2 linked regions of the Lepisosteus oculatus genome follow. The protein of the gene in region 2 purifies or fractionates together with the protein of the main gene of each other region. This does not show direct contact. Links are inferred from orthologs where the notes say so. Each region holds a gene or a part of one and is shown on either strand. Other genes may lie near its edges.

Region 1 (16,344 bases), on a different chromosome or scaffold from region 2:
ATAATTCCATTTTTCTTGCCACTCCATTTTCAGAGAAAGCAATAAAACCTCCCAAATTTTAGGGATTATTTTTAAGAACTTGTAAGTAACCTGAAGGAGAACTGGATTCGTTCTGAGAACACGGTGTTGAGTCCTTACAAAGACTTCTAATGCCAACAGCGCCACACAGTGGCCGACTCCGTAAATGCAGAGGTACAGCTTCAGCGTGCAATGCTGAGGCTCCTAATCTACTGACAGGACAGAAAGGACAGAAAATACCCCAGGAGCAGAGAAACAGAGAGTAATAGAGTAAATCACCAGTAATAGAGTAGTGTATCACTTCTACCACATGGATACTTTTATCCCCATAATTTGCACCCATTTATAAAGCTGGGTATTTTTCTGGAGCAATTTAGGTGGAGTACAGTTAAAGGTACAACCGCAGTGTCTCAGGGATTCGAACCCAAACCCTTCCTGTTATGAGTCAATGACCCTGAACACAGCTCCACACTGCCGCACACGAAAGCGTTGCATTACACAAAGAAGACAAAGAAAAGGCTGTGGAAATGAAGAACCACCAGGGCGTGCAGTTCAGGAAGCCAATGGCAGATGAGGGACACTTGTTACCAAACCTGTTGTGAGAGGTCAGCCTTTCCATCTGTAAGGGAAACGGAAAATACACAAATATGACATGATTTGCACCTGTGGATAATGGCACAGATGCAGCCTGGCTTGTTGGATAAAAAGCTCATCTTCATCGTGCTCTGTCCTTGAGCACCAGTGACATCAGAGGCCACTCTACCCATCAGCACCAGTGATGTCATCAAACTCTCTGCCCTTCAGTGTCTATGTGCCACAAAGACATACCACTGGTTTAAAGCTGCTTCTACCTGGAGGAACACATGAGTGTTTGTCAAAGCTGTGCTGCTGTGTCTCCTACTCTCCAGGACAGGCCTTGCACCTGACACACCTGCAGCAGGGTGCTGCTCTGTGGGCTTCTTCACCCCCTTGCTAGGTAACTCCTCCAGGGCCCGCTGCTTCAGTCAGACCTGGGAGTGCTGAGCCTCTGGCCAGCCTTGGGCAGCGATTTCTGCAGCTCCGTCCCCAGTTAGGCACATCTTTCTTCCTGAATACTGCAAGATGACTGTGCCACACAATTTCCTTAAAACAAAAAAAACTCACCTTTCTTTTGATCTTTTTTATTTGGAGACTTCAGCCCCCGCCTAAAATGCAACAGAAACATATCATTGAATCAATCGGTAGTCCAGAGTTATCCAAAACAGATTGACGACGGACGATGAAATTGTTCAGCATTCACATCCGGCTGCAGGCTGTCTGGATCACCGACATGTTACAGGGACGGTAAGAGAGCTCTTCTGGTACCTGTTCTGATCGGCCCGGCCGACAGGTGGGGAGGTCCAGCCAAGAGCAGAATATCACAGCGTCGCTGGGAAGAATGAGATTCACTGCGAGAAAGGGCTTCTTCTGCGGGCCCGTGTAACAACACCCAGCTCCCACCACCGAAACGCACACGCGAAGGGAGCTGCTTAACTCCGTCGACTCTGTTTAACTGGGCTACTGGCCTGTAGTCACACACAGCTAGTTCACCCCCAGAGCGCCGTCGAGCATCGCCGACTTCAGGTCAGCGCTAGGAGTTACGACCACTCCCGCACCACGGAGCTTCTCGGTACTCACGAAGAAACTCAAAACGTTCGTCGCGTTTTGTTTTACAACTACGCTTCTAATTCTCAGCCCGACGTTTTTTGTTGTTGTTGTTATTTTTACTTTACCATGTGTTTAATGTAAGTAAAAAAGATGTATCCAGGAAACCAACACGGCTCTCGGAAACAACAGCTGTGTCAACAAGCAGCGCTGAGAGAAACACGGCGGAACAGCCCCGGTTTGTTGGTTGAAAAGGGCGACGCAGGTTTCTCACACAACACCTAGCAGGTGCCAAAACTCTCCTCCAAAAAAAAAACAGTCGGGAAAAAAGAGAGTTAAAACGTGAAACTTACTTATCCACTCCTTTGGTAATACGGTTTCCCATAACAATTCATGCTTTTTAAGGTCTGACTCAAAAGAGGTCGGAGTTATTCCGTTTCCTTGTTCCCAGTTCTTGAAAGTCACGACACATTCCCGCACAGGTGCAGCGCTCTGGCATGCTAACAGCGCCCCCCTGCGGTCAAGATAAGCACAGCACTAAAGCCGTGAAGTCTTTTTAAATACCACACCGAAATCACCCCCTGGCGACATGACATTAGTGTTTATCGAAACAGAAGGCTGTTGTTTAATGATACCCTGAAAAAAAAAAGCAAAATAAGAACCGACCACAGTGGCGTTTTTTAAATCTTCAGTTGGGTGGGAAGTTATTTTGGGAACTTGTGAATAAAAACAGCTACTTTCCCAGTTAGGTCTTGTTTTTTCTCACGAAAAGTTTTTTTTTTCTCTCTTAGGCTAATGAGTGACTTATGAACAGCCCGTTTTTCCTCAGGGTCAGAGAAGACCTCTCTCTCTCTCTCCCAGCCTGCTCAGCTGTAGGGTATGTGCACAAGGCCAAAACACTGTTATGACACGGTCAGACTACAGTAAATGTCTTGGCTGGATTCTTCCTGGTCTTTCTATATAAATCAGCTACCCCAGCACCTAAAGGTCAAATCAAAAAGGTCGAATCAGCTTCTCTTCTTTTCCTGTCTTCGCCAGGCTGAGTTGCCTGCTTAGGGATAGTCTGCAGAGTGCACAGAATTTGGTCCAAGGAGCGCAGTTTCCACACAGCAACAATACACAGTGGTCTGAGACTTCTCCTTCCTTCTCTGTTGGCTGTTGTTCTCCTCCTCGGATGTGTTTCCACTTTGGGTGCGTTTATGTCACTGCTGGAGATATGAAAGACTAAGAGCCTTTTCCACACACTCATAAGGCACTGTCTTTTTCACACTGTGCCTTTCTCATAGTGAACTCCCTATGGGGAAGCCACCATCTTGGCTCAGACCATGGTATAGCCTTGAGCCAAGATGGTAGCTGAATATGGCGTAATGGCAGGGGGGTGTTGAATCAGACACACCTGGGCATTGGTAGGTATGAAGTTGTTGAAAATTCTAGTAAAAACTTGGATAATCGCCTAAATCTGCTTCCACTCATAGTCTTCTGTGTTTAAAGATTTAAAAAATGTTAATTTTTGGCCTGCCATTGTAAAACATTCCCTTCAGCCTACAAATGTATGTGATTGATTCCAGAGCAGGAGTGTTCTTTTTTGTAATGCTGTGACCACAGTTTACACAGTACTCTGAATGAGCCCCTGCTAGTGTGGCTCAGAGGAGCACTACATTTCTGCAGGTGCACATGAGGCCAGATCAGTGGACAGTGAGTCTGGTCTGATCAGTGGGCAGTGAGTCTGGTCTGATCAGTGGGCAGTGAGTCTGGTCTGATCAGTGGGCAGTGAGTCTGGTCTGATCAGTGGGCAGTGAGTCTGGTCTGATCAGTGGATAGTGATTCAGACCAGGAGATGAGAGGCTTTTTTCAGCAGCTGCCCAGTCATTATTTCCACTTCACAGCTGAGTTTATTTTTTGATGGAGGGAAATACATGTCTTTAACTGGTGAAGGGTACTATAAAGATTACCCTATTAACTAGTCAAACACATTCATGCATAACAAGTGGTTCTTCCTATTGACAAATAAGAGTTTCCTGTTGTCATTTTGTAAGAATAATAGATTTATTAATGTAATGCAATAATACAACATCCGCTGCCAACTTCTCAGGCATGCTTTCCTATCCAGGACACAACACAGCCCTGAGGGCTATTACACACCCACACTGGAGTCTGCTCATCAGGAAATAAAACACACGCCTCCTTTCAAAGAACATGATGCACAGCTTGAGTGATTAGACATCCTAGAAATATCAGCAGGCTTGCCAACACCCCAGGCCTCCAGCAGGACTGCAGGTTCTCCAGCCCTGCCCCAGCCACACCCAGCCTCGCATAGCCCTGCCCCAACCACACCTACCCCGCCCTACCACACCCCAACCCGGCCCCAGCCACACCCAGCCTCGCCTAGCCCCTCCCCAACCACACTCAACCCCGCCCCAGGCACACCCAGCCTCACCTAGCCCCTCCCCAGCCCCGCCCAGCCCCGCCCAGCCCCTCCCCAGCCCCTCCCCAGCCCCGCCCAGCCCCGCCCAGCCCTGCCAGTGTGGGAGGGGTTCACGTGCTCTTCCCCGCCTCCTTGTGCTGCTTCTCCCCGCCCTCCACTCGGACTTGGAGCTCGCGGACGGTGGGCTTGACATCCGCAGCCTTCCGGGGCGCCTCGGCGCACAGGACGCCGTCGTGGGAGAGGGTGACCTGCACCAGGAGCGGGTCGACGCCCAGCGGCAGGATGTAGGTGCGGCTGAACTGGCGGCTGACGAAGCCGTGCTGGTCCAGCCGCTGGGCGTGTTGACCGCTCACCTCCAGCAGGTTGTCCACGGTGCGGACCGCGATCTCGTCCGGCGTGAACTGGCACACGTCCAGCAGCACGCGGAACCAGTCGTCGCCGCTGTCCACCTGCGAGAAGCCCCGCTCCAGCTGCTTGTTGAGCCGCGGGCGGATGTAGTAGCCGTGGTACAGGGTGGGGGCCAGGACGTCCTGAGGCGACAGGCCTGGGGGCGAGAGAGAGCAGCTTCGGCAGGCCAGGCTCAACCTGGGAGCTGGGAGCTGGGAGCTGCAGGGTGACATAGCTGCTGCCATGTTGCACACTGTTTGTTGGCAATAAACAAGAAAAAATCATTCTCGTAATAAAGGATTTACAATTGAGTATGGTGTATGTGCAATTATTTGTGTAATAACAGAGTCAGGACGCTGGCAATGCGCCTCTGTAAGGCTGTGTACAATGTCTCTTCGCTTGTAGCAGATCCTTTTTCTAAACGTTCACAGACGACACTGGTCAGGGACATGTCTCTTTTACCAGAGTAAACCACCTGCCAAGCACAAAGGCTCTGATGCTATTTTGCAGGCCTGCTTCAGAGCCATTACAAAGGAAAGTCATGGTGTGCACTTAATGTATTGATTTTAATATGTTATTTTAATACAGTCAATACATTTCTCACAAATTCCATTCCCTTTGGCACGACGAGACTTCCTCGTCCCCCGCAGAGGACGGGTTCGGAACCTGAGACCCACACTGGGGCAGATGCAAGCCCCTGTCTTTGGGGGGATGGGTCGGTCGCGGGGAGCAGGTGAGGCCCCTGTCAAGCCAGGGTTTCAATCCGGCTGACCCTGGGGTGACCAGCGCGATCCCTCAGCTTCTACTCCTCCTCTGGAGTCTGGATTCGCCGGCGAGAAACAGGCTGAACAAAGGCAGCCCTGCGTGTCTTTTGATAGGGGTGTCAATGTGCTGCCAGGCTGGCTGCTCTGTTCCCAAGACCTCCAGGGTTGTAGGAGGGCAGTTTATTTTCGGGCTGGGCCGGGGAATTCCCCTCCGCCGCCAGACGTCTGTTTTTATTTCCCTCTCAGCCTTTTACTCCTTCATGCTCCGCTGCCACAGAGCAGGAGGCCAAAACAAAGGGAAACTCTCTCCAAGAGTCTAAAGGAAGTTAGGCGAGAGACAAGCCGAAGTTCACAGCTTCTACCACCAGGGGGTGCTCTGCACACATGCCTCTTCGGCCTCTTGAGGAACGAGGCTGGTGCGGCTCATGGGAGGGCGATGTCCGTGACAGCTCTGCCTGGGCCCCCGACAGCAGGAGAGGTCAGGGGCAGGTCGATCTGTCACTTCCCTCTCACGTCAGCACCTCGCCAGCTCCAAGGGGCAATCCGACTGAGACTCGGAGCCCGTGAGCCTGCCTGCCTGCATCCTTACCTCATCACATGCAACTTTCAAGTAATGTCCAGTTATCTATCATGCCCACATACAGGCCTTCAATACCCTGGTACAGTTTTAAGAGCTTTTTAAGCTTTTGGCAAGAATCTAATCCAATTTAATAGCCTCATACAAGCTACAGTCATTTAGTAAAATGTTTAAGATAAGATCACTTTTTTCACCCTATACAGTTTTTTGTATTAGGAATTTGTCTTTTCGCATACTCCAGCTTGCTCTCCATGAGACACACAGACAGGGAGAGAAGCTTGGGGTCGGAGCACAGCCATTTATACAGCACCCCTAGAGCAGTTGGGGTTAAGGGCCTCGCTCGGGGGCCCAACGGAGTAGGATTCCTCCACTGGTCACAGGATTCGAACCAGCAACCTTCCAGCCACAGGCACAGCTCCTCAGCCACAGAGCCACCGCACTGCCCTGCTTCCGCACTTTGTGGACTTGAACCCAGACCATCAGCGACTGCAGATTTGAACCCAGAGCCCAGTGACCACAGACCAGCGCGCTAGATCAGATCATTTGTGTTCCTTCTTCTTGTGGGTCGGTTCTTGGTGAATTTGTTTTTGCTCAGAATGGATGGAGATTTAAGTTTTGTGCAGGAACAGAAAAGGTTGTGAAGCCCCTCTGTGTGCCCAGCTGTTGTGAAGCCCCTCTGTGTGCCCAGCTGTTTAATAGCCCCTCTGTGTTCCTTCTTTCACTCTGAAGAAAAGCGTCCAGTTCCACCAGGACAGGGCGCTGTTGACTTGTGCAGTTCCATGGTTCCACCGCACACACGCCGACCCGACGCACGATCACGAGCCCAGCACAGCGGGAGGCCTTACCTTCCCCGAAGTTCTGGTCGTAGATGCGGCAGGGAGACGCCATCTCGTACTCCACACTCATGGGGTACGCGTGAGGAACGGTGCGCTCCGACATCCCAGCGAGCTGCGAGGGCACGGCGGCTCAGTTCCTCGCGGAAACGACTGGCAGGGTCTGCAGAGAGAGTCGGGGAGAGAGAGAGTGACTGTGTGCCTGTGTTTGCATGGGGCTGATAAAGAGGCCAGAAATAGCCCGGTCACAGACACTCCAAAGGAGACATCATAACTACAAATAAATCCAGAGACAAATACGCCACTGGGATCTCTGATGGATCAGTTTAAAATGGCCCACAGGGACAGGCCAGTCCTGCCTGGACAGACCGGCTGGCAGGGCTCTTGTCTGCGATTCCGAGACGGGATATTACATCTCACCAAGAGCAGCCTGGGACGATTTATTTGAAGGATTAGAAATGCGTGGAATAATTTTGCACTTACTGCAGTACGTCACGACTGGGAGAAGCACTGCAGGCCACAGTGGGACCTGGCTTTGTGTGGAGCTGTGGGAACTGTGATGATGTTACCAGCCTGGTACTGTCAGCACTCTGCTGAATACGGCCCTTCGAACGACAAGGTTGCGAGTGGAATGAAAAGCTGAACCCTCCCGGTAGAGAAAGTGTAAGGAAATACATCTCCCCCCATTCCTGGACCTAAGAATAAGCCCACAGCTCTCAGAGGATATTATATATCACCTAGCTGACCCTGCGGGGTCCGCGGGTGGAGCCCCACACTGCCGCGGACGTCCGAGAGGACGCCGAACTCCAGCCTGTCTCCAGCCGACACCGCCTGTCTCTGCCCTGTTTACAAGACGGCTATTGAGCTCTGCCCCAGGCCTTGCCAAGTCTGGCATCGCCCTGGGGCAGGGGGGAAGTCGAGCGGCTGATTAACAGGCTGCTCTTCTGATGTTTCTCTGGGTGAGGGCGGGGGGGCGACGCCTTTTGTGCACAGCGGAGCAAAGTCACGACAGCAGCAGTTTGCCTCTGCGTGATTCATTTACATGAAAAGTTCAAAGTGAAAGCTGTGTCTTTCTCATATGCATATGATATGAACTGTGCAATATTTCTTTATGTGTATCATACCTGTTGTGAGTATTGACCTGCCCAGGGCTGCACTCCTGTCTTCTGTGGTTCCTGTACATATCAAGTGTGATGTCAGTGCTGGGGCCCCTCCTGGTGATGGAGTGTACTTATTTTGGGCACTACAGGGTGTCCAGGGGTCTAGGCAAGAGTTCTGTCAGGTCCAGGAAGCTCTAGGAGGCTAGTGAATGTGTACAGTATCACAGCAGCTCGTATCTTCTGAAGGAGAAGGCCTTAGAAGTGCAGGGGTGTCAGACTCAGTGACTAAATGATGTCACCAGGTGTAGGCACGTTAACAATAGCGACAATGATCAGGTCAAATCCCACTTCTTTCATGGTTGGATGATAATTCTCTTGACTACAGCAGGTCCCAGGTGAAGGAAGTCCCGAGTGCTTTTTTGTTCATTTTGAATTCTGTTTGCCTTTCCTAGAATAATGTGGCGGGGCTCTTACAGTGATTGTGGCTCTGACTGACACACCAGGGGATGCTAACAGTCCAGCATTCTGGGAGCTGAGTGTTTGGTGATCCGTCAACAGGCCCCTGCAGGTCTCCAGAACTCCACAGAGCTCTACAGTGTTGTTATTGCTGCTCTGCTGATGGCTGCTACTGCTGTTAGCAGCTGTTGCGGGCTGAAGTGGCCTACTGTCCAGTCTACACATCCAGAGAGGTGTTAACATAAGTATTGGCCGAAATATTGTCCAAAATCTGAGCAGGGGGTTCAGAATGGAATAGAGGTGCTTAGTTCCCTTCTTCATGGGAACCAGGGACGAAACAATTTAAAGTAGCCAATCAAGCTCAAGCACGGGGGGGCATGCAGACTCCACACAGACTGATTCCCTAAAGTTGGACACAAACCCGACTCGAGATCTGTGAGGCCACAGTGCCACCCGCTAGTAGATCCTCTTACCCTCCATTGATGCCCTAATAAAAGTGCATTGTGGTTGACTGTGGTGACAGTACAGAGTAGTGAAGTACAGTACAGCTACTGTGCAGCATTAGGTGGTGCTTATCAAAGCATATCCACAGGCACGTACTCTATAGGGAAGATCAGAAATGTCTCGCAAATTTGCTGTTGTAGAATTTCTCAAGTATGAGAGGTAGCTGTGAAAAGCACTCATCACCATACTGTGAAGAACAGCTTTGATAGAGAGTTTAATACCTGCACACATAAAGGACATCTTGAGTGGAGAAGCTGACTAAATAAATGAATGAAGGACCTGCAAAGGCTGGTGCTGTGTCCTGGAGCAGAGGCAGCCTGCGCTGGGCTGCCAGGGGTGGTTTATCCCGGGGCTTGACTCTGCACACAGGGTGCCCTGCCTGCGCCTGGGCAAACACACCCACCAGAGCCTTTGATCCGGCCTGGAGCCTCCCTGGACAAACAGGAGTCAGGGCAGGCGGGGGAGAGGGGCACCGGAGCGCGGCGGAAATAATCCCACCGGCACGCGGGGCAGCCGGAGGAAGAGAGGCCAAGCCCGAGGAGTGCGCGCCAAAAACCGAAACCCGTCTGACAGACGAGCCGGGTCCTGGCGCTGGCCGTGCAGGCACACACAGAAAACCGCGCACCAGCACAAAAGGAGACTTTCCAGCGCTGCGCGCACGGGGGCATCAGCACTATTTAAAATCCCCCAGAACAATCGCAGGGCCGCTTGCCTGAATGAAATCGGACTGCCAGTAATCACGTAAACACACACGGACTGGCACTTGCAGGGGGAGAGGGCGAGCGGGGGAGACGGTTTACATCACCGTTCCAGAAAGTTCAAGAGGAGGGTGGCAGGCTGGCACAGGCTGGTGGGGCGGCTATATAAGTGAGCTGAGGGCCAGAGGCACAGCAGGAGCGGCACGGCAGCAGCAGGCACAGAGTGCGCCCAGCCCAGCCAGCATGGACATCGCCATCCAGCGCCCCTGGTTTCGCCGCCCCCTCTTCTCCTCGTTGTTCCCCGTCCGGATCTTTGAGCAGAACTTCGGGGAGCACATCCCAGAGAGCGAGCTGCTCGCCCCCTTCCCCCTGATGTACTGGCCCCGGGCCTCCTTCCGCGGTGCCAGCTGGATGGACGGCGGCCTGTCAGAGGTGAGGGCCGGGCCTGTTGCGGGTTGACCGTCGACTAACCTTCCAGAGCCAAAGCTCCAGAATTCTCCAGAAGACAAAAGAGACAATCTCTGACTTTTCACAGGTTTGCTGCAGGACCTATAGCTTCTTTCCTACAGAGGAATGTTTTCAAAACTAGCTGTGAAAACCTTAATATTTTGCTAAGTCTTTACTAAACTAAACCGTTGCACGTATGACATATTGAGACCAAGGGCTTGTGGGATATGGAGACCAAGGCTTGAAATCCTTGAGGTGGGAGAGAAAAGGCTTGGAAGGGGGTGTTTTTGTCTGTGAGAGCAGGATGGCCAGGAATGTGACAGCAGGGAAGAGCGCAGCAGATATTGAGACGTCGTATCCACAGCGTCACCAGCACTAGGATCAAGCGCAGTGAAACAGGAGCTGCTGCTCTGCTGTGGGGGGCTGGGTGCTGGCGTTGACGTGGGCACTGAAGTCAGGGAGGAAACGGTGGGGTGTCTCTGGCTCTCTCACACATGAGTCCTGGGGCTCAGTGTCCTGACCTGCTCCGATTCCTGGGGATCCCGTGATGAGGTTCCCTCTGTGTCACGCGAGTCCCTCCCTACTGTGGCAACATTTTCTTGGTAGCATGTTAAAACTTTATTCCTCATAAAACGATCACCAGCTCAAATACCTGAGCCCTGTTAGTTTAAGACAAAAAACCCTGTAGTTTGATGAAACACTCACTCGACAAAGAAAGTGACTCCAACAGTTCGGACATGAAACCAGTACAGCACAGATGATGTGAGCTGTTCCTTTAAGTCCGTCGGCGGGCGCGTGCACATGTTGGCCTCTGAATGTTTAGAATTGCTTCCCGCTGCCTGCAGCCAGCTCAGCCCAGCACCATGCCCTCTGTGTTCGCTGCGAGGTGTCACAATGTGACCCATGGGAGGAATCTCAGAGCGCAGTGCAAACTGCCCACTCCCCCACTCAGCTGACTCCCAGGGTCAGAGCTGCTCTTTCAGACTGCAGAGCGCTCGTCTGTAACCTTCAGCCGCCTAGAAAACCAGCCCTAAAATACCTCTTGGAATTAACCTGCTAAAGCTGGAATTGGTCACACTTAAGAGGCGCTTTGTCAGCTTGTGGCTCTAAGAGAAAGAAACAGATACCTGTATGAATCCTTCTGTTTAATAATGAGGCACACCTGATGGCTCAATGCCCTGCCCTGTGACGGGGATGCTGACCTGTGTGCATGTGAGCAGCCCAGGCTGCACAGGTGTGTTTTTGTGTGCTGACCCTGCTTCCTCCTGGCCGGCAGATGCGTCTGGACAAGGACAGGTTCGCAATCCACCTGGACGTCAAGCACTTCTCCCCCGAGGAGCTGTCCGTCAAGGTCAACGGCGACTTCATCGAGATCCGTGGGAAGCACGAGGACCGCCAGGTAGGGGAACACCCTCCCTCCCTGCCTCTCCATCCCCCTTTTCTCCTGCCTCCTCCCGGCTCCTGCCCTGTCTCCCTGGCCCTCCCCTCTCCACTCTCTCTTTCTCTGCTCCCCTCCTGCAGTCTCCCGGGGTCCAGCCTGCCCTCCAGCGTGCCTTGTGTCTTTCCCTTCGGCAGGATGAGCACGGCTATGTGTCTCGGGAGTTCCACAGGAAGTACAGGATCCCAGGAGGGGTCGAGCCGGGCTCCATCACCTCCTCGCTGTCCGCCGATGGCGTGCTGACGATCAGCGCCACGCGCAACCTGTCCGAAGTGGCCGAGCGCACCATCCCCATCACCCGCGACGACAAGCCCGCTGGGGCTGCGCCGCAGAAGAAGTAGACTTCCTTCTCCCCCGCCCCTTCGCCCTCCCTGGCTCCTCGCCACTGCCACCCCACCACCACCGCCCCGTCTTCCTCGACCCCGGCACCCGCTGAGCCACGGGAAGTGAAGAGAGCCCCCCCCTGCATTTACAGGCAGGGGATAGGACCCCACTCATCCTCCATTACTCAGAAAGGGTGGGCTCATGGAATTCGCTGCTACATCAGGGCCTCTGTCCTCCTAGCTTGCTGAGTAAAATCAAACACGCTGCAGAACAGCTGAATGAGCAAGGGAAGGAGCAGACAAAGGCACACTGAGTGCAGGGCCCTGGTGCAGCTGGACCAGTCAGTCCCTTGAGGAAGGGGGAAAAGGTCCACAGAGTGACAGACGAGCCTCTGTGAAGTCAGCTACTGATCGTGCCTCAAAGACACAAAAACAGTTCAAGGAAGTAGGACAATCTTAGGGAACTTGTGCGTGTAGAAACGCCATGCCCTTAAGTGGGCAGGGTTTATGTGCAGAAGCGAGCCCCGTGACAGAGCACAGGAGCGCTCCAGAGCAGTTTGTAGCTGGAGCTGTGGGGACCATTGCCTCTCTGAGAGTGTGAACCAGATCCTGTGTTCTTGTACAGTCAGGTACCTTGTACCTGAAGGGCAGTTACACTGCAGGGGTGTTGGCAAATCCCAGTCAAGAACGCAGGTATCGGCTTCAGGAAAATCCCCGCTCCACCCAGCTCAAAGGCTGAGGCATTAGGTTTACCGCAGCAGTTGTCTGGAAAATGGTTGCTGAATTTTTTACTTACAGACTTGAAAAAGACCAAAGGAGTGACTGAATAAGTAGTCTGACTTCACAGAGGAGTTAATGACAGGTTCTCTGATAAAATTCTCTTGTTTTTGTATATACTGAAAAGCATTTAAAGTGCAACAAAACACTATTGATTCCAAAACTCATTTGATGCATTTTTAATGCCTCCCTGTATATATTAAAGCACTTTGCTGTAAGTGTAACGCACCTGCCTTCAGTGTGTTTTGACGCTGCTCACATGGCAGTGGTCAAGAGGGAAGTGGGTGTTTTCCCAGTAGAAGCCAGGCCTCTGGTTTGGACACTGGCCCAGATGCACTCTGTGATAACCACAAGGTATACACAGAGGTGTCGCAGCTGCGTGTATTGGTGACTGGGACACAGAAGGCACTTAAAACAAGGCCACTTGAGGCAGAAAACAGCCAATGAGACAAGAACATGATATCAAAACTTTTATTGTAGAATGGGCCCACAAAATCTGGAAAAGTAGAAGCAGAAAGGAAACCAGATGGGAACAACAGCATATCTTCCAGTGATGTAAAGAAGTGCACAACTTATCCCTTGCAGGGGCTCAGTTGTAGTCTGTTGTCCGACAGCCCTGCAGTGTCTGTGCTGTCTGCTCTTTCCTGCAGCCGGTGAGTGGGCTCGGCTCGGCTCGGCTCGGCTCGGCTCAGCTCAGCGGTCGGGCACTCCTGTGTCGGGTTCAGGTTCGTGGACAGGGAGGGGGCAGTGTTGTTTAAAAAGATCCTGCTTATTCATTTTCTATTTTGTCGTGGTCGCTGCCTAACCTTTCATTCCTGAGACCCCATATAGAGCAGCCAGAGCTCAATTAACACTTGAGTTTCTTAAATGTTCAAGAATAAATCGTTTCAACCACATGGGTGGCTCTTTCGTTCTTTTGTTGTTTATTTTTTCTGCTGTCTGCGTTTGAATCCCATGTTTTCTCCATATTGCAGCCTCAGGACAGCAGTCTTCAGTCCTGGGGCTGAAGAGACTCACAGAATGTTCTAATTTTAATTCCAGAGGAGTTGCCAATATCTTAATTTAGGCCGGTTACTTGCAGAATCACTACATGTAAACTTGTACTCAAGGTGTCTGCCTGCTGTTTATAGCTCCTTATGAACTCTGCAGGGCAGAAATTCACCAGGACCGTAGAACCCTGAATTAAAAAATGTTTGTGCTAGAAAAACCTATATTAACCCTTTTAAACTACACATTGCAGCAGACAACACCCTTCTTATTGGAGGACACGAAAAGGAAGTCTATGCCCATCAACACTTCATGGGGGCGTGGCTACAGAGTTTCCCCAACACACACCTGTTCTGCACTGGACCTCACTGCGATTATACCACAAGGTCCCATTTCGCCACACCATCCATCCACAAGTCCACTTGCACACATGAAGAACATTGCACAACTGCTTCTCTTCACTTTATCACACTCTTAGTCCCACTTTCACATCTGCGGTTTGTCGGGATATACGGTACACTGTACTCAGCCTGCACACTTTACCCCCAGCAGGTGGAGCTCTGTGAGCTATTACTCTGCTGCCCTGCCTGCGTCCCTCTCTGCGCCTGCAGGTGTGGGGCTGGGTCTCTGAAGTCGTGCCGGTAGCAGGAGTCGGGGACGGGCTTTGTGTGCAGGGGATCCAGCTCAGGCTGGTGTCCCGGGAAGCAGCGGGGTTCCCTCTTTGTACCTGCAAAGCAGAGACCTGTGTCAGCATTTGAGGAACATGGCGGTGTGACTCCAGGCCTGGCAGGTCACCAGAGGGTCTTCAGATTGTCAGTCTAGCTCTTAATTGTCTGTCTAGAATAATCAGTCGGCTCATCTGACTTTTTCAGAAGACTATGAAAACCCCATAACTTGCACCCACCAGCACAGTGGGTCCTGGGTTCAACTGTGCACTGGGGCACCTTCTGTGTGGAGTTTGCACGTTCTCCCTAAAGCTGGATTACTTAGTGCCTCCAAATTGTGTCTGTGTGTGTGACTGTGTGTGTGTATGTGTATGTGTCTGTGTGGGTGACTGTCTGTGTGACTGGGTATTCTGTGTGTACATGTCTGCGTGTGTATATGTGTCTGTGTGTGTGACTATCTGTGTGAGTGCATGTACGTGTCTGTGTGTGTGTGACTGAGAATGTGTATGAGCCCGTGTGTGTGTCTGCATGTAAGAATATCTGTGTGTGTTACTGTGTATCTATCTGTGTGTGTGGCTCTGTATCTGTCTATGTGTGTCTGTGTGTGTGTACGTGTCTGTGTGTGTGTCTGCATTTGTGTACTTGACTGTGTGTGTGATTGTCTGTGTCTGCATGTGTGTACGTGTCTATTTGTGTGACTGTGTATCTGTCTTTGTGTGTTTAATGTGTGTGTGAGTGACCTGAGAAGGACAGGTGCCCCTTCCCAGGCTGCAGCCCTGCCTTGTGCCCTTGCTTCATGAACACTCTGTGACCCATGCTGGGAGTTTTCTGATAGTGGATAGGTGGACACACCTCTATTCTACTGAATTTCTACAGGAAACTCTATACACTTATGGCGTAGCCCACCCTGGGGATCTCTGGAGGCTCTGCAATTCCCCCAAAGACATTCTACAGCACCTGTTTCCCCAAGAGTCTGAGTCTCGCAGCAGGCAGCCATGACCTGATCAGCCTCAGCTGCCGAGACGAGACTCAGGGGCGCGACCAGAAGGGGTCGTTACAGGCAGGGGTCTCAGGTGCTGAAGAGAAGGGAGCAGGAACTTACCAGGATCACGCGGGGGGGGCTGTCGGCCTCGGTCATACGTGGAGGAATACGTCGTCTCAAAATAGTGAGCGAACTGCCAAAAGAGAGGAGATGTGGCTCAGCCTGAGAACCCGGGGGGAGGTACCCCCGAGAAACTCCTGTGGCGTGTGTGTTGAGTGCCAGGAATGGAGGGGGGTGGGCCTTGTGCTGTGAGGAGCACGGGGACTTCTGGGCTGCACTGTGACAGTCCTGAAAAGAACGCTTTCGCCACAGTAGGTGTGGATATTTTGAGTGGTCAGTCACACGGTTGCTCATCTCAGAGCTTTCTTCCCTCTGGAAGATTGTGAGCAAAATTCTCAACTTGGCCTGGAGGGCTGACGGTAAATCACAGGGTTGAGCCAATAGTATTCAGGTCCAGAACACTGCGTGCCTGGTATAGCTCTCTTTTTACATCTTTTTTCTTTTTACAAAACAAAGAACTTTAATGAAATGGTTTGTACGGGTGTTTAAAAACAACATTTTTCAGAAACTATCCAGGTGGCGCCCCCTGCCCCCACGGCCACACACCCTGGGGGTAAGGCCCAGACTTGGCCCACCTGGGAGGGCAGGGGCCGGCGGCGGGCCAGGGCGCGGGTGTCGCGGCGCTCCTCGGCCCAGTTGCCCACCAGGGTGGCGGGGGAGTAGGCGTCCTCGCCGGTGCCGCGGCGCCAGCCGTACTGCCGGAAGGTGGCGTCGGCGTCCCAGTCGCGCCACACCTCCCCGTGGCCCGCGGCGCGCGGTGCGCAGAGGGAGGGCGCGTCGGGCTGCTGCCATGGCGACGACATCCCGCAGCCCTCGGGAGGAGACACAGGAATCACCGGCAACAAACAGGGCATTGCTTTTTTTAAACTCTTGATTTGAGCAACAGAAGGAAATACAATACCGACAAGATCCATAACATCGGCAGGGGTACATAATACAAGCCCATGCAGTGAGAAAGTAGGGTGGGGGCGGCGAGGGCACAAGCCCTGGAACCCGAATCCGGTACAATAACGAAAGGACAGACGATGAAATATTTCGAAGTCGCAAATGTGAGATATAAAGTCGTAATTCTGAGATATAAAGTCGCAATTCTGAGTTTCTAAGTCGCGGTTCTGAGTTACTAAGTCGCAATTCTGATTTACCATAGCGCGTTATTTTTACTCTCTGGCGGAAACGGGCTTCCATAGTCTTTACTGGGCAAATTCGATTAACTAAATAAG
Region 2 (16,371 bases):
AATGCATTCTTAGGAGCTGCCTGAGGTATTGTATGACTAGCAAAAAAGTTCTATGGTCTTCAGTGGGTCCCCATTATTTAACAATCTGCACCCCCTCCCAAAATCAAATCATTTTATTCCTATTTAACAGCATTTGTGCCTCAAATCTATAAATGAATGCTCAACTGGTTCTCCCCCCTAGCTGATGCTGTGACTGTCATTTGCCAAATGGTCAATGACACTGTCAAGTGGTTTTTAATCCTCCTCGTCATTTACTACAAACACACTTAACAACTGTGAGAGGCTAATGAATCCCCTAGCTGTCAGGGCCTGTGCTGCTTAATTTAAATGTTTTTTTCTCCACCCTCTTGATAAACAGTTGTATAAGTCTATGCAATGATGAAGAAGGGTGATCTAGACTTTAAGTATTCAATTTCAGTCAAAGATCAGAGTTCCTATAACTGAACAAAGAATTTGCTGATCTTTAATGCACAAGGTGTCCGAGTAACGGAAACAAGTGAGTCAGGGCGACATAAAATCAATGAACTGTGGTTCTCCAGTTGGATTCTCCTAGTTTAGGCATTCATTCTCACAACTATTAAAAATGACATTAAACAGGTGACTTACTAAAGAATTTCACAAAAAGCCATTAAAAAAATTGAAATCCCATTTCTTCAGTACAACAATAAATACATCAGGGAAAATACAGTTCCTTGGTCAGCATGGAAACGATGCAAGGAATCTGCTTTTTTGCATCGAAGCCTGGAATGTTTGAGATGGACTCGAAATCCAGCGCCACCCTGTGGTTCACTCTAGTCATGATCTGCATGAGCTCCAGCTCTCTGCCGTACTTTGTCAGCATGTGACACAGGGACTGGATGAACCAGGAGCCATTCATTGTGTTCCTCCATGAATAGTAACCTTCAAAGACAAAGAAACAATGGCACTCCCTTATAATACACATACACAGGTAAGACACACAAGTAGTTGCAGTATATACACACACTACATAGGGAGAAATCAGCCTGAATGCTATGCACGCGTATACTGTAGATAACATGTAGGTACAGTATATAAATGACACTGATACACTTAAATATAAGTTCAGGTGAGTAGCTGCGTCAGCATGCGTAGGCTGCAAAGGAACAAGTAATAGGTTTATTCCATACTGAAAAGAAGAAAGAAAACAACATTTTGGCCGTGGAGCCTGAAACGTTGCGTTTTCTTTCTTCTCTTTTCAGCACGGAATAAACCTCTCACTTGAATATAAGACTTAAACTGACCATCTCAAACGATATAAAAGACACTTTTCACTTATTGTTATTACAGTACTACTCTGAAACATCACCCATTATCAAGTTGCAGCACTGAATTAAGTCTTCGGTCTGTACTTTCTGCTTTGTAACAGGCCGAGCGTTTAGGCCTGTGGTTATGTCAGGGAACCTGGACTGATAAGGTTCTAGACAAATCGAATGTAAACTGACCAGCAGCGCAAACCTGTTAATGTGGTTAAGAAACAGGTTCTGCAGGACAGAGACCCTTTGGCCCATTTCAGCAGAGCGACAGCACTGCACTCTTGATTAGGAGCCGCAGTGGCTCTTCAGCAGTGCTTCGTTAAATGCTATTCTGTACAGCCCATCCCAAACCTTGACAGGTGTCTTTAAGCGATCCGTCACAAGTGATTATTAACGACTGCCCCCTTGTGCAACAGGGCTCACAGCAAGACAGCCCCCTTCACGCCCCGACAGTGCGGATCTCTGCCGTGGAGGGAGAGGCCGTGTTTTGGCCAAGAGGAGTTTGCCGGTGTGTGAGGAGCGGCGCCGTGTCTGCACCGCGCCTAAAAGAGACCGTGATCAGAGCAGGAAGTGTACCTGGGGCTGTGGAGTACGCATACAGGAAGTCAGCCTCCACGGGGAGCTTCTCTGAGCTGTTATCATCACCAAGGGCATCCGTTTCAATGCCCCCATCCAGGCTGGTACCTCTGCAGGCCTGACAACAGCAACACAACGCAGAACAGACCAACCATTACACTTCATCTTCAGCCTCTGGCTGCACAAGTACGTCCATTTCCTTCTGCAGTGCTGCAGGCCAAGGTATTCGACAGCAGTCCTGTTGATTCATGTAGCCAGCAGCCACGTCACCCTGCAACTCCCAGCTGGCAGCCCACTGAAGCTCAGCAGGTGTGAGCCTGGTCAGTATCCTTGGTGGGAGACCTCCTGGGAAAAGCTAAAAACTGCTGCTGGAAGTGGTGTTAGTGGGCCCAGCAGGGGGCGCTCACCCTGCGGTCTGTATGGGTCCCACATAGTGACTCCCACAGGAATAAGTGGTTTTCTGATAAAAGATAACTTCCATGGAATTCATTTGCCTGTGGACTGGTATTCATTAGGGGAACATTGGCCCTGGTGTGAGAGTGTGCATGTCTGTCTGTTTACCCCCCTTGTAATTTGCATAAACAAAATAATCCGCCCATTCATCCATTTTCCTACTCCTTCTTCCAGTACAGGGCCACAGGGCAGACGGAGCCTAAACCAGCAAATAGGGCGTGCAAGTCTGGATACTCCCTGCACTGGACACTGGTCAATCACAGGGCGGACAGACACACAGACACGCACACTCTCACACCAGGGCCAATGTTCCCATAAGCAAGTAACCTACCAGAATGTTTTTCGGACTGTGGGAGGAAACCAGAGCACCCCGAGGAAACTCATGTGAACACACGGAAAGAGCACACTAACTCTCTGCAGACGGCACCCCAGGTCTGGCACTTAACTATTGACTATGTCGACTATGAAATAATATACAAGCCCAGAAACTGCAATTTGCAATTCTAAATTAAAAAAGAAACAACTACATAACGTTACCTATTACAGACTCTTCTGCAGAAGAAAGGGGTGAAGAACGCAACTTAAATATCAACCCCTCAAGTGATCAGCATTCGTCTCTGTGGTTTGCTTAGGTAGCAGCTTTGTGGAGATCTATGCTGTGGAGAGAGTGCAACAAACACTCTCTACCTACCCGGTAAGCACAAACCGATCAAAACATCATTTCGCTGGAGGGCTTTCAAAACCGCTGCCCGTGTCCACCTCCCGTTAGGAAACGGTTCAGGGCAGCGTAACTCGCTCAGGACAGACGAAGAGAGATACTGAGTCTACCCCCCCTCCCCGGACCATTTCCACAGGGACAGATTAGGCAGCACGGTCAAGAAACGGAGCGCAAGGCTCGAGCCCGCTTCGATTCAGCGCAGACTTCATCCAACACGAGCCGCGTCTTAGGTAGGTAGGTAGGTAGGTAGGAAGAAGAAGAAGAGAACGAAACTCGGCGGTGTTGCGGGTGCAGCCGCCGGGCCCCGGGCCGGGCCCCCTGTACCTGGATGAAGAACAGCTTGGGCTTGCCCACCAGCGTCCTGCAGCGGTCCCCCCGGAAGTAGCCCGCCAGCTTCTTGATCTCCAGGCAGCCGTCCGTCCCGAACAGCACGCCCTCGTCACCGTGGCTCAGCAGCACGCACACGAAGGAGGCCGCCTTGCTGTGGTCCTCCCTGGAGACTGCAGCCGCGGAGAGACGGCGGGGTGAGAGCGCGGCCACCGGCCCGGCCCGAGAAACTCCCTCGGCCCGCCGCACGGGCCTTTAACCCCTGCTTCTATCCCACCACGAGCCTGAGAACGGGCCCCCCCGGGGGGCTTCACAGTGGGAGAAGCTCTGAACCCCGTTTTCCCGCGCCACCCCGCCCGGCCGAGAGCAGCGCTCCGAGACAGAAGCTCGGCTGGGGGAGATCTCCCAGTTACCTTGCCTCTCTCCTCCCAGACTGCTCACCTGCACTAAACCTGAACACGGTCCGGAAACGAAAGCGACTGCGTGGGACTAAACAGAGCTGGGGCTGCTTGCAGTTCAGTGACTGAACGCTGCTGGGAAGAGAGGAAGAAAAAGAGCTGCAAGCCTGATGAGCACAGCCGTGGCTGTTACGTGCACTGCGCTGGGAAGCGGCGAGGTCAGCACTCACTCGACTGCAGGCACGTCTCCATCTGTGCACAAGTCTGGTCATTGACAACCCTGACGCTGTATCCCAGCATTTTAAACACCTTCATCATATTCCCAGCATCCACGTCCGTTCCATTGCGGATATTCATTCCTGTAAAGAAATAAAGCAAGGCAAGCTGTTACAGCGATTCCACTATACAAGTGGGTCGGCCCGTACCACAACCCAATATCAAGAGACAAGACATTTACAATTCATGTCAGAACAAGCTTAACAAAAATTCATTCACTGTATGTAGAAAGGGATCCCACACCACGCAAGATTGAAATGTACTGAATGATAACACTTCCAACTGCATAAGACTGTAAGGAATCTACCTGAATCTACCTTCAACTGATCAGAGTGACACAGAAACGAATCTGAGCCAGAGAACGCAAGTGGAAACTAGGGAGCTGGCCATTTCAATCTGAGAACAGGAAGAGCTTCTTTACACAACGGACTGGGGGGGTCTGGCACAAGGGTCCCAACTGCGGCGTTGAAGCCAACATCCTGGGTCCTTCCAAGAAACAGCAGGAAAAGATTCCCTCTCTTATGAAACAAAAGTCACTCAAGTGCACCGCACACAATCTCGAATAACTAATGTCCTCTTCCTGAGAACACATGCAAACATTCTGAGTCTGGTTATATATTTATTCATCAGTCCGGAGCGGCGAAGTGGATACTATGGGCGAGATATAATAAGCACCCAAACCCAAGGAACCTGCAAAGATCCCTGCACAAAATTTAACTTCACTTCCTTGAGTTTAACTCATATTTCCATTCAAATATCCAAAAGCTTTTATTCTATTTCAAAATAAATACCTTAAAAACACTGTGCAGCTGGAAAACAAAGCTTAGTAATACAGCTCAAAATGAAGAAAAACAGTGTTTGGACATGCTTACGATAAACATGCCTCTATTTTAACAGCACAGAAATCTGCAGTGCTCCATAAAACCATCCACTTGTAGCATCACCCTTCGTAGCAAACCTCTTGTTTGCTCTCGTTCAAATGAACAATGCTGAATTGTAATTTCTCAGCAGAAAGAAAACACAAACCCCATGCAGTTGTTACCTGTCTTTTTATCAAAGTTCTTGTTGTTAATGATGATGCATTGGCCAAGGTGTGGGTAGTTCATTTTATATCTGTACGTGTGGGAGTCATGTTGCTTGGCGTCCACCTGCTTAGGTGGAACTGCGGGACCCTGGCTGGAGAAAGCATGAATCCATCGTTAATGACTCGCACAAAGGATTCTTTCAGTCAGCGTTTACGTCCTGCTAGCAAACACCGCATACGTCCACCCCAAATTACATTCATAATGACGGCATTCAAATTCATAACATTGAAAAAAGTAAATTCACCGGAACGCCACACACAGGAGAGCCGATATAGAACTTCACAGCAGCAGCAGCTCGGACATGAAAAACGTAGACATACCAATAACTTCCTTTACATTCGCTGTTAGTTCCTATGAGCAGATCTTATTTTTTAGAAAGAGTGCAGCGTCTTAAAACAGAAACCTCCGCATAGAGAGGGTTCTAGAAAAGACACCAGGGACCTTTTCACCATCAACACTGGACCCAGAGCCAAAAGGACCAGTCGGCCGCACAGCCTGGATACGTTCTGGGGCTTAAAGCAGTGTCCCGCACTGACCAGGCGGAGGGAACGGGAACTCTGTATGTCTGAACGGTGAAGAGCACTACGTGGGGACCCGACACAAGGCTTCAGAATCGACCTCAGAATGAACAGTGAAGCCCCAGCCCAGAGGACACCAGTGGAAACTACAGTACAGGAAAGGGCATTTAAACGCAAGAACAGGAGGAGCTTCTTCACTCAAAGGACCTGGGGGAATAGGACATGGAGTTATTGAAGCCAATTCCCTGGTGGATGAGATCCTGAGATCAATAAACTACCAACGACCCAACGGTAGTCTGGCCTGAAAGACCGCCTCTCATTTTGTGCACTTTCTGCACTTTGTGTTTTTGTGCTTTCAGAGACTTTCTGTGAGTAAGAATTCCATCGTACCAGTACATGTACCAGTTACATATGGCGATTAAGTTCAAGTTCATTTATAAGTGTCCTTATGTTCCTCTTTTCTTTCTTAGAGATACCAAGAAAAGAAGTGTTTTGTTATCTGCGAGCTGATTTTGCTTTGAAATACATGATATGGTTTTTATTTTCAGTGTACAATAACATTAATCTCCTGCATGTCTAATGGAACAGGATTCCATATGGCCAAAAATACATTCGACATGATACAATTTCGAGAATCTATCTGCTACTATGGTGTGGGGGGTATGTGTGTCACACATGGAGATAAACACAGATCGGCCTAACTCAAATTAAATGAAGTCATTTCCATCTAAAAAAAACAAACAAACTCTCTCGTTGAAGAGAACTGACCACATCCAGGTATCAATGCAGAGAGATATTGTTTCTTGATTCAACAAGTCTTCGACGTTCAAACACAAAAGAAACTGAAAGCACGCAGCCTATAATACGAACGTTATTTAATAATCTCTCTTCAAAGAACACCGAACTACATAAATAACTCGCGTATAAGGGTCTCTTCACACGTGACAAGAGTCGTGACAGTACTGTTCAAAGGGCACCCGGTGTTTCACGCAGCGCAACGGCTTTGCAGACTGGACGGAAGAAAGTCTTACTGGGGGGCACTGGCCGGCTTGGCGTCCACAGCATCTCCTCCGGCGCCTCGAACGGGTTCCGTCGCCTCAGACATCGTCCCTAGACCGAGGGAAACAAGCGGACCACAAAGCTCACCTGGGGCTCCGCTCAGTCACTGGTTTCGCCAGTGGCAGCTCACACACAGACACACATACATACTGTACAGACACACACACGCATGCATGCATACACATACACATACACATACACATACACATACGCCTGCCTGCCTGCCTGCCTGCCTGCCTGCCTGCCTGCCTGCCTGCCTGCCTGCTCTGTGTTGCTAACCGCCTGCTCGGCCAATAGCAGCCCGCGCTGCCAAGGGCCGGGCTCGATGACGTCATCGCCTGTCAAGAGCAGGCTGGAGCCCGTAACTCCCTCGAGCCCGCGAGGCGATGACCTCACACACGCCGGCCGGCGGACAAAAGAACCCCCTCCACCCACCCTCCAGGAGTTTTAAAAATTTACACAGCCTGATGAAATACGAAGAAATATCACCCCCCCCATTAGTTTGTGTACTACTGCAGGGATCCTAACTGTTTTGGCTTTAAGACAAAAAAGGATGAATTTATGAACAGTATAACTGTATAGTAGTTCAGGTGGGCAGCTGCGTCAGCATGCGTAGGCTGCAAAGGAACAAGTAATAGGTTTATTCCATGCTGAAAAAAAAGAAGAAAGAGAACACAACGTTTCGGCCGTGGAGCCTTCTTCAGGTGTAAGGAAGAAGGCTCACACCAAGAGAGGGCTCCACAGCTGAAACGTTGTGTTTTCTTTCTTCTCTTTTCAGCATGGAATAAACCTATTACTTGTTCCTTAACTGTACAGTATAATGCTAGATGCAATGTAGGCATTATGGCCTGGTTTACTGTCACACATTACTGGGCCTGTTCATGGTCGGGTTGAGCTGGGGGAAAAGAAGCCCCGTTTTCCAGCAAAATATCACAATTAAGGAAGGATGATACTGTAATGTCCCAGAGGGGTTCCAACAGAAATTCATGAGGAACCGGGGCACACACAAACGTTTTCCATGGCCTCGTCATTTCACACATGACAACAAATTGGTATTTCCCTCAAAACTTTAAAAAAAAACCCAGAGAAAAAAAAATTAGACTCAAAGTTAAACGAAAAAGAAATAATATAATTACAACTTTGTGATGTCAAATCCTGCTTTTCTAAAAAAAGATGTTAAAATCCAAGGGAATTTTTATATTTGTGTGGGACAAGAAGGAAAACGTACATTTCCACCAGGAAAGGATTTTGAAGACAATTCTTAGAATTCAACAGAAGGATGCACATTTATTCGTTTATGTTTGCTTTTGTTTGAATTATTTGGGCATCTTGACAATTAAGCAAAAGCATTAGACATTAGTTTAATAGGCAGAGGTAGGTATTGCCCTTGAGGTAGAATTACATCGCACCGTGACTCATTGAAATTTGAGTGCCTACAGCAGGGATGTCCAGCCTGGACTCGGGAGGGTTTATATAGTATGTGTAGAAGCACCTGAAGAACTCTGATCAGCTTGATTGATTGATCCGATCTAGCCAAATCATTCTAATAATATACTGATATTTTCTCTGTGAAAAGCTGTGCTGGAATTAAAACCTACTTGACACACCAGCCGTGGCATAGCTTAGTCAGCAGCAAGGTAGTGCAAAACAGTCATCTTCCTATTCAAACACTGACTCCTCTAAAAGCTCACTTCAAGTTTAAACATCCTGCCAGAACAAAACGTTACTTGCAAATCTGAAGAATTCTTTTTATTTCCAAAGTTTGTCCCCTGATGAACACAGTGTTTTTGAACACGAGCAAGATATCCCCTTCGATGGAGGAATTATTATTTAAAAAAAAACAAGTTCAGGAAGTGAGCGATATGTTCGAGGAAAACCTAAAACTTACAGGAAACATTGTACCCACCCACGAGTGAATCAAGTGCTTTAAAACAGCCACATCAAAACACAGTGGAAACGTCAAATAATTCAAAATCACGGCTTTATCTTTCTACTTGGTAAGCCAGTTTATTTTTTTCTCGTTTTGACAGATGTGCAATTAAAGCAAGAGGCGTCCGGCTGTTTGTCTGTGGTCTGTATATTCTTTAATACAAATCAAATATTGCAATCTTGAACGTGAGGGAGATTTTTTTTTTTTAAAAAAAGGACCGAAATACCCTTTAAATGCTCCGGTTAGGAAAGACCAAACGTCCACTGAATGACACTGACCAAACAAGTCAATACCAGCTGTTAGCAGCTCATTCTCGACATGAAATACCTGTGCAATTTCAAGCCCAAGTCTGCCGATATAATAACAGCTTCATGGCAGAGACTCCGTCTATATCTTGACAAGTTTGTAAACAACAGTTGAATATTTTCACCGTCCACATCCAGGCGACTCGAACTCGTGTTTTGGTATGAAACAAAATAATCGATCACTTTTCCGAAGACCTTTTTTTTTTCCGGTAACGAAAGAAACTTGTATCACAAGTGCATATGGTTTTACATCAAAACTCGGGACGACGAGGGAATGAATATAACTTAAACTGACACGGGGTGGTTGTTAATAATAATAATAAAAACAAATAATAAAAATACGAACCACAATTTCCAGCTAGTAATAAGCAAAATAAAGAAAGACTTACGTTTGCGGCTCTCTGCTCCACACTGCTCTTGTCAAAAACTTAAATCTTCTGCGGGTTCACTTTCTTTTTTTTTCCCCGTTTCAAAGGTTGGGTCGCAGTTTGAATATCTGTTTTTTTTTTTATATGGCTCACAACACCTCCCCGCTTTTTGAAACGGGCCGTGAAACTAACACACACACACATACAACAACAAAAGACCGCAAAGGAGAAGGACCGCCCTACAAGCACCGTCGAGTTTTTGTTTCTTTTGTGTAGTTTTAAGAGCCACGATGTGGTGGTATTGAGCTCCACCCTTCGCGTTTTTTTTTACGTAAAATTTTTTAAAAAAACCGACATATAAAAACGAATTAAAAAAAAAAACTACATCTCCCAGCCGCCGGGCCACGAAACGGAAACTGTGCAAAAGGGCGGCAACTTTAAGGAAAAGGAGACACAAACATTGCAGGCAGCGTCTGTGGGTTAATTTGTTACCCAGAGAGAGTTTGCAGTGTGTTATTATTATTATTAATAATAATAGCCGAAATTAAAAAAAAAACTTGGGCCCTCGGTAAGTACAGTATGTGTGTATTTACTATACCTTTCTGTGAACGCACATACGAGACGTGACGAGGAGACCTAATATTTATATATAAAATGATATAATTGATATAAATGTAAAGGAAAAATGATCGTCAGACGCTTGATATCTTCTTATGATGAGGTCTAGATAAACCTTAAAGTCGGGTGTCGTCTTTTCGGGGTGTTTTATATTCTTGTATCGGTCCCTTTGCATTTGACAGTGTATTTAGCCAACTTGTTTGAATTGCTTAATTGGACATTATTTATTCTTCAAGCAAGAATTGTAAGGCTTCCGTTTTTTAAATAATGCCTCTTCAGAGCTCAATAGGCGGACAGGAGTTTACAGTGCGACCCAGCCTAACTGTGAGCTGTCGTCCATCTTCAAAACATCTTCAAAACGTAAAAGGAGGCACGCCTGCGTTTCATCTGTCTTGCCGTTTTCTTCCAGGTCAAGGTGACCTGTGCTGTTAATCCAGGTCAGTGTAACTATCTGTGAAGTGTTTGTGTTTATATACTATGGGAGTGGTGGAAATCATTCATTTTTTTTCTCCTCCCTGTGGGGAAAAAAAAATATTTCTATGACCAGTATTAGTTACCCGGCGTCCTTGTCAAATTTCCCATTGGCGTTTACTCCTCATGGCCTCCTAATAACCTCCCTCTCTGAACTGGCTCCCTCACTCTGCTCTCCTCCCCACTGAGAGCTGGGGTGTGGGGAGCGGACTGGCGCCTCATCCAGGTGGGGCTGCACACTGCTGGGGGTGGAGGGGATCCCCATGACCTGGGGAAGAGGGCAGATGGAGGAGTTTATCACCCAGGTTGATGTGCTGCGCGGGAGCTGATCGTCTCCTGTTCTCGGCCGCTCTCCAGGGTGTCTCCCCGGCGCCGCCCTGCTGGTGAGGGATGATCAGGCAGGAGTGGGGCGAAAGGGTGAGGAGGGTGGCGTGCCGGGCCGAGTGGTACCAGCACTGGCCCCTGTCCTCGCCGTACAAGCCCAGGCTGTCCAGGCCCTGGCAGCCGTCTACTCTGTGGCGGGTTTTCCCCCGCCAGGGCCTGGCCTTCGCTTTCGCCAAGAGCCGCGCGGAGGTGAGGGGCCGGGGTCGGCGGGGCCGTTTCGTCTGGGGGGGGGAGTCGGAGCGCGATCTGCTGTGAAACAGGGCGTGAAGCTTCCGTGTGCTTCTGCCCCCCGAAGGGTGTCCACGTGTTCGCGCTGGAGAACGGCCCCACCGAGGCCGGGCAGAGGATCTACCTGGTGACCACGTATGCCGAGCTCTGGCACTACTACAGGTGAGTCCCGTGACGGGAGAGGGGGGGGGCGTCCGGTCTGGGGAGCCCGCGTAGCTGCTGTGGGATAACTGCTCCAGGCACGGCGGGGAATGAAGCCAGGGTGGCGACTTCATCAGCGCGACGGGCTGGCGTGTTGCCGACTGCCCCATCCCTCTGTGTAAACTGGCGGCTCCTTCTCCGAGTTCTGGATGTCCTTCCGCGTACTTCCCGCTGGTGTCCTGCGCTCTTTGTTTCACTGATGGCGGAGAAGTAGTCGTATAACCAGACGCCTAATTGTACACCTGTGACGATCTGGACCTTGCTCAGATATGAATACAACTTTGAGGGCAATATGATCAAGTCCCGAAAAAACAAAGATGCCTAATTATTATTCCCTTAAAACAGTCATGATGCTGGTAAAAAAAATTCTCTACACTGTTTTCAAGAGCAGTCTTTGTTAGCCACATACAGTAGATCGAAGTTCTAATATTTTGTGAAGCGGCCTACTTTTATTTCATGTACTGTATCTAGTGTGTGAATATATAGCAAATAAATTCAAGGGACTACAACTTATTGTTCAAAAGCTTTCATGTCACATTACACACTCAGAGCTGTTTGCACAAATTGGTCTGCTGCCAGCACAGCGTGTTTTGGTTTTCACCCCAGGACTTACAGGCGGTCTCTAATGCACTGCTATGAGGTCATCCCCGAAGGTGCAGTGTGCAAGCTGTACTTCGATTTGGAGTTCCACAGGCCCTCGAACGAAGGTCGGGATGGAAAACAGATGGTGGCGTTTTTTATTCAGGTATGGAGCCAGCGGTCTTCACGGCGTAGGAGCAGCACAGACGTATTACAGGTCCAGTTCACAAAAGGTTTCTTAATTCAGAGTGTGTGAGCGAAAGTTACAGCGTTTCATTATCCTCTTATGTTTCTAACCGAGGAGAGAAGGGTCTGAAACCCTTGCGCTGAGCTGTGCAGAGTCACTTCACTAGGGCTGTAGTGTATGCAAATGGTGTGGAAAGACAGGAAGACAGGGTAATAAGATGCCCACGGTACTCTGGCAGCTATGAGGAGTGCCTGATTTTCATGCATGTTTGTGAAGTCAAAAAGCCCCATTGAGATGAAGTCCTTGCGGGAAGCTGCAGCAGCAGTGGCAAGAGAAGACACCCCAGGGCTTTGGCTGCGGGCTCCCGGACCCTGGATGTGAGCATGTCCCAGACAAGACCTTCTTTGCACTGATTTTAAACTGATCTGTGGTTTATCTTGTGTCCTAGTATGTATGTCTGAAATTGGAAGAGGAATATGGAATTAAAATCTCCAGGGATGATGTTCTGAATTTGGATTCCAGCACAGAAGAAAAGTTCAGTCGACATCTAATATTCCTTGTTCCGAATGCAGCTTTTAAAGACAATATACACGTTGGTATGTATTTAGATAATTTCTGGTGATTTGTTTGTATTGCAGCCTCAGATAATTAATGACCAAATACCCTGTTAACTTGGCTTATAATTCTGTGAAAATGTAATGCAAAATCGCCTCAAGTTTTGGGTCACACCTGTAAAGAATTGTAGCGCTGTGTGAACTTCTAAAAAAACAAGACAAGCCCAGCTTACACCATTATTCTGCTAATTCTCTGGTGTCGTGTGTCTGCCTGTCTCATTAGGTCTTTAGATCACTTAACTCCTTTTTTTTTTTTTTTTTAGTTTTTGAATTATAAAGCAGTGTGACGTTTCTCGGTGTGATATTACGTTCTTACTGGTCTCATTTTCCACTTGAAGGCCATTTTGTCCACAAGGTGTTAAAGCCAGCGCTGGAGGAGCTGAGAAGGAGAAGACACCGTCTGGTGACAGAAACCCACCTGGAGAGCAATGGACAGCCTGCAAGCAGCCAATCCCCTCTTCCGTCTTTTGGACCTGGGCAGGAACCGGAGGCTGAGAGGCTGAGGAATCCATATCCCAAGAGACAGAGAACCGGGGAGGGTCCAACCTCCCCATCTCCTCAGGCTGGGGGCCTGCTGTTTCTCTTCGTGAAAGACAGAGATGGACAGGATCAGCTCTTTGTTGATGTCGGTATGAATAACATTGTTCGGCTTCCGTTTGCAAACACCGACGGCTTTTTCTGGGTCTTACACGCGGCGCTCTGAAGTATCTATCAGTTTACAGACTGTGACTGCCTTATGAATTGCATACCCCTCACTTTGAAGAGTTACTCATCTATTGCTGTCCTCCTTCCCTGTTAGGAGTGTACACAAAGAACAGAAATTTCCGCCTGTACAAATCTTCCAAAGCTGGGAAGAACGTTGCCTTCAGTGTAGCGGAGGACAACACATTTGTCCCCAGGCCTCAGAAGCACCTGTCTCACGAAGAACAAATATTTCTCGCCTCCCTCGTCAGCAATGTTCGGTACTGCTCTTCGTAATTCTTTGGTGAAATCAAAGACACTTGCATCCAGTTGGGTTACAAATGAGAGGAAGTCATTTATCCCATTCAGTCCCAGTCAGGCAGTGGTTTCTAGTAGCTTACTGATCCAAGGATCTCCTTCGGCTGCTTTCTTGAAAGTTCCCAGGGAATCGGCTTTAATCCTGGCTGTTCAGTCAGAAATCATTAGGGATTTCTGACCATTCTTTTTAAGTGTGCCACAAGATTTTGTGTGTCACAGAGTGAAAGGATATGTTTTGTTTGTAAAGTTTTTGAAAAGCGTACAAAATAGTTTGTAGGCAACTCTAATCCCAGTGTCATTCAAAATGTGATGTCAGGTTTCACAATGGTGTAGCTACTGGCCAAGCTAAAAGAATAAACTAGTTCTTTCAGAAGTCTGCTTACATATATGAAATATATGAAAATGACTTTAAAGTAGAAAACAATAAAAGGTTCAGTCTGATTTTATTGGAAGATGGGATATACAGTATTAGTATGTAACTTTGTTTTATTGTCTCTACACTAGGTTCTCAGATGGTCTGATTATTCTAACTTGTGATGTTCCCGAGGCTACAAAAACAAAGTGCATTCATACAGCAGTTCCCAAATCAGGTAATGTGTCTTAGTCTGGAGGACTTGAAATTAATGTTTAGAAATGGAAATAATAATAATAATAATAATAATTGCTTACACTTATATAGCGCTTTTCTGGACACTCCACTCAAAGCGCTTTACAGGTAATGGGGACTCCCCTCCACCACCACCAATGTGCAGCATCCACCTGGATGATGCGACGGCAGCCATAGTGCGCCAGAACGCTCACCACACATCAGCTATCAGTGGGAAGGAGAGCAGAGTAATGTAGCCAATTCATAGAAGGGGATTATTAGGAGGCCATGATTAGTAAGGGCCAATTGGAAATTTGGCCAGGACACCGGGGTTACACCCCTACTCTTTTCGAGAAGCGCCCTGGGATTTTTAATGACCACAAAGACCACAAATGTGATGGCATTATTTATATTTTCATTTAACCATGTAACATACTAATGTAGGTACAAAATGGTACCAAAGTAATTGTTTAAAGATGTTTTTAAAACTGTAAACATACAGAAATTTAGTGTTTTCATTGATTTGAACTTGAATTCTTTCTTATCTGAATTATTTCTTTTAATTTGTTTGTAGGGTCTGTTGGTGGATGTCAGTATTCTCCTTACATAGAAGTGGACAACTTTGTGCTCTCTCTGGTGAACAAAGATGGCATTGAAGGCAGTAAGGCCTCTTTATCCTTTAAACACTCACACTGCAATGGGTGTAAGGAGATCAAGACCTGAGATAGTGTTGTCTTGTTTTTGCTCCTGAACAGCCATACGGCAGTGGAATTACTTTTCCTCTGAGGAACTTCTGGTTTATGACATCTCCAAGTATCGCTGGTGCCAAAATGTAGGCAGGTTCCATAAAAGCAACAATATCATGTAAGTGGTACCTCTGTTGTTTTTCTTCAACCATTTACATTTCTGTTTCTGAAGGGGTCTGTAGCACACTTCTGCATGCAATATACAGAAAGGGGAGGCCATTCACCCTGCTGTGCTCCACTGAGTTCCATGTCTCTGTATCCTGTAGTTAATACTGGCTGTACTGTGAGCATGGAAGCATTCTACCCCTCTACACCAGCAAGGAACAACTTTCAAATTTGACTAAAAACCTTTAGGAAATGGAAAACATCCACAATGCAACAGTCTGTGCCGCAGGGAGACTTCTGAGCGATACAGCCTCTGGCTTCAGAAGGACTTGACAAAAATCACCCCCCCCCACCATGCATATTTACATCAGACGCCAACACGCACGCTTACGAAGAAACTACTGCAAGCGCCCGTGTGTAGCTTTGAATCGGAAATGAAAAAACACCGCCCGGATATCGGGTTTCACTGCTCGTCTCTGAAGAGGGTTTCACTGGATGGCGGATCAGAGAGGCCGCGGTCGGTTTGGAGAGGAAACCGTTCCGAAGGATGTTGTGCGTCTCTAGGTTAATGCATCCAAATCTGGTCTCCCTTCCAGGATCCTGGTGGATCTGAAGGAGGAGGTCTGGTATCAGAAGTGCCACGACCCTGTGTGCAGGAGTGAGAATTACAGATCTCCAAGTAGGTTCCCACGAGCAGAGGCTCCTCTACGGCCCCCGCGCTGTCTGTTCCAGATGTGATTTTTATTGCTGTCTCTCCCACAGGTTTGCCCTTGCCCCGTGAGGTGTGTCTCGGCTACCTCGTGAAGGAGGTCAGTAAATGGTGAAAACGTTCTCCCTTCCCGCTTGCACTGTTAATGATTGCTCTCGTGTTGAATTCAACCTCGCCGGCGTTGTTCACTTTGGCATGAAGTGAGTGCCTGCTCATTATCCCACCGTTAGTTTTTGGCCTCGCATAGTGTCCGCGCATAATAAACGTGTCCTGAGTGTTTACATTTTCATTGGCACAGTGTGCGCCATAATGGCGGCTGATAAGATGGCAATGTTGGGCTGCAGTGATTTTTACAGTTGGTGTAATAGTGGAATACTTTCCTTGCCTGAAGAGGCGCAGACAGGATGAAGTTAGGTTATTTAACCTCTCATTAATTTAGCTGAATTGGAAATTCCAGCTCGATTTCCAGAACAGTTTCCATTTTTATTTCCTTTAAAACACACCTTGTAATCCAGAGTGCTTACTGGGTGTGGTGGCAACTCCCTTTAGCCCAGAATCTCCAAATCAACGCTTCAGTAGGTGACTGGGGTCGCTGTCTGGGGTCTTTCTTCAGGTGAGACATTAAACTGAGGTCCTGACTGATGATCTCTGCTGTTC

Evidence for each region.
Region 1: the proteins of caspase-3-like (region 2) and cryabb purify together in Homo sapiens (affinity purification with western blotting; 3 studies listed by BioGRID). This does not show direct contact. The link is inferred for Lepisosteus oculatus from reciprocal best matches to the Homo sapiens genes CASP3 and CRYAB.

The regions. Positions count from the first base shown.
Region 1 is NC_090718.1:15,353,320-15,369,663, forward strand, and holds cryabb (crystallin, alpha B, b), read left to right. Parts: upstream 1-9,471; 5' UTR 9,472-9,628; coding exon 9,629-9,817; intron 9,818-11,108; coding exon 11,109-11,231; intron 11,232-11,407; coding exon 11,408-11,611; 3' UTR 11,612-13,058; coding exon of another isoform or gene 13,059-13,080; 3' UTR 13,081-13,266; downstream 13,267-16,344. Other genes in the region: uncharacterized protein, read right to left, coding at 612-637, 1,162-1,202, 1,995-2,026; hspb2 (heat shock protein beta-2), read right to left, coding at 4,177-4,610, 6,640-6,733; cfap68 (cilia- and flagella-associated protein 68), read right to left, coding at 13,064-13,080, 13,901-14,084, 15,125-15,197, 15,671-15,927. UniProt on the Homo sapiens protein: May contribute to the transparency and refractive index of the lens. Has chaperone-like activity, preventing aggregation of various proteins under a wide range of stress conditions.
Region 2 is NC_090696.1:75,468,282-75,484,652, forward strand, and holds the start of caspase-3-like, read right to left. Parts: upstream 9,524-16,371; 5' UTR 9,309-9,523; intron 8,682-9,308; exon of another isoform or gene 8,400-8,681; intron 6,736-8,399; 5' UTR 6,731-6,735; coding exon 6,657-6,730; intron 5,199-6,656; coding exon 5,065-5,198; intron 4,106-5,064; coding exon 3,977-4,105; intron 3,522-3,976; coding exon 3,346-3,521; intron 1,969-3,345; coding exon 1,851-1,968; intron 901-1,850; coding exon 674-900; 3' UTR 1-673. Other genes in the region: primpol (DNA-directed primase/polymerase protein), read left to right, coding at 10,767-10,949, 11,056-11,150, 11,796-11,985, 12,404-12,551, 12,908-13,198, 13,369-13,531, 14,073-14,158, 14,729-14,815 and 3 more. UniProt on the Homo sapiens protein: Thiol protease that acts as a major effector caspase involved in the execution phase of apoptosis. Following cleavage and activation by initiator caspases (CASP8, CASP9 and/or CASP10), mediates execution of apoptosis by catalyzing cleavage of many proteins.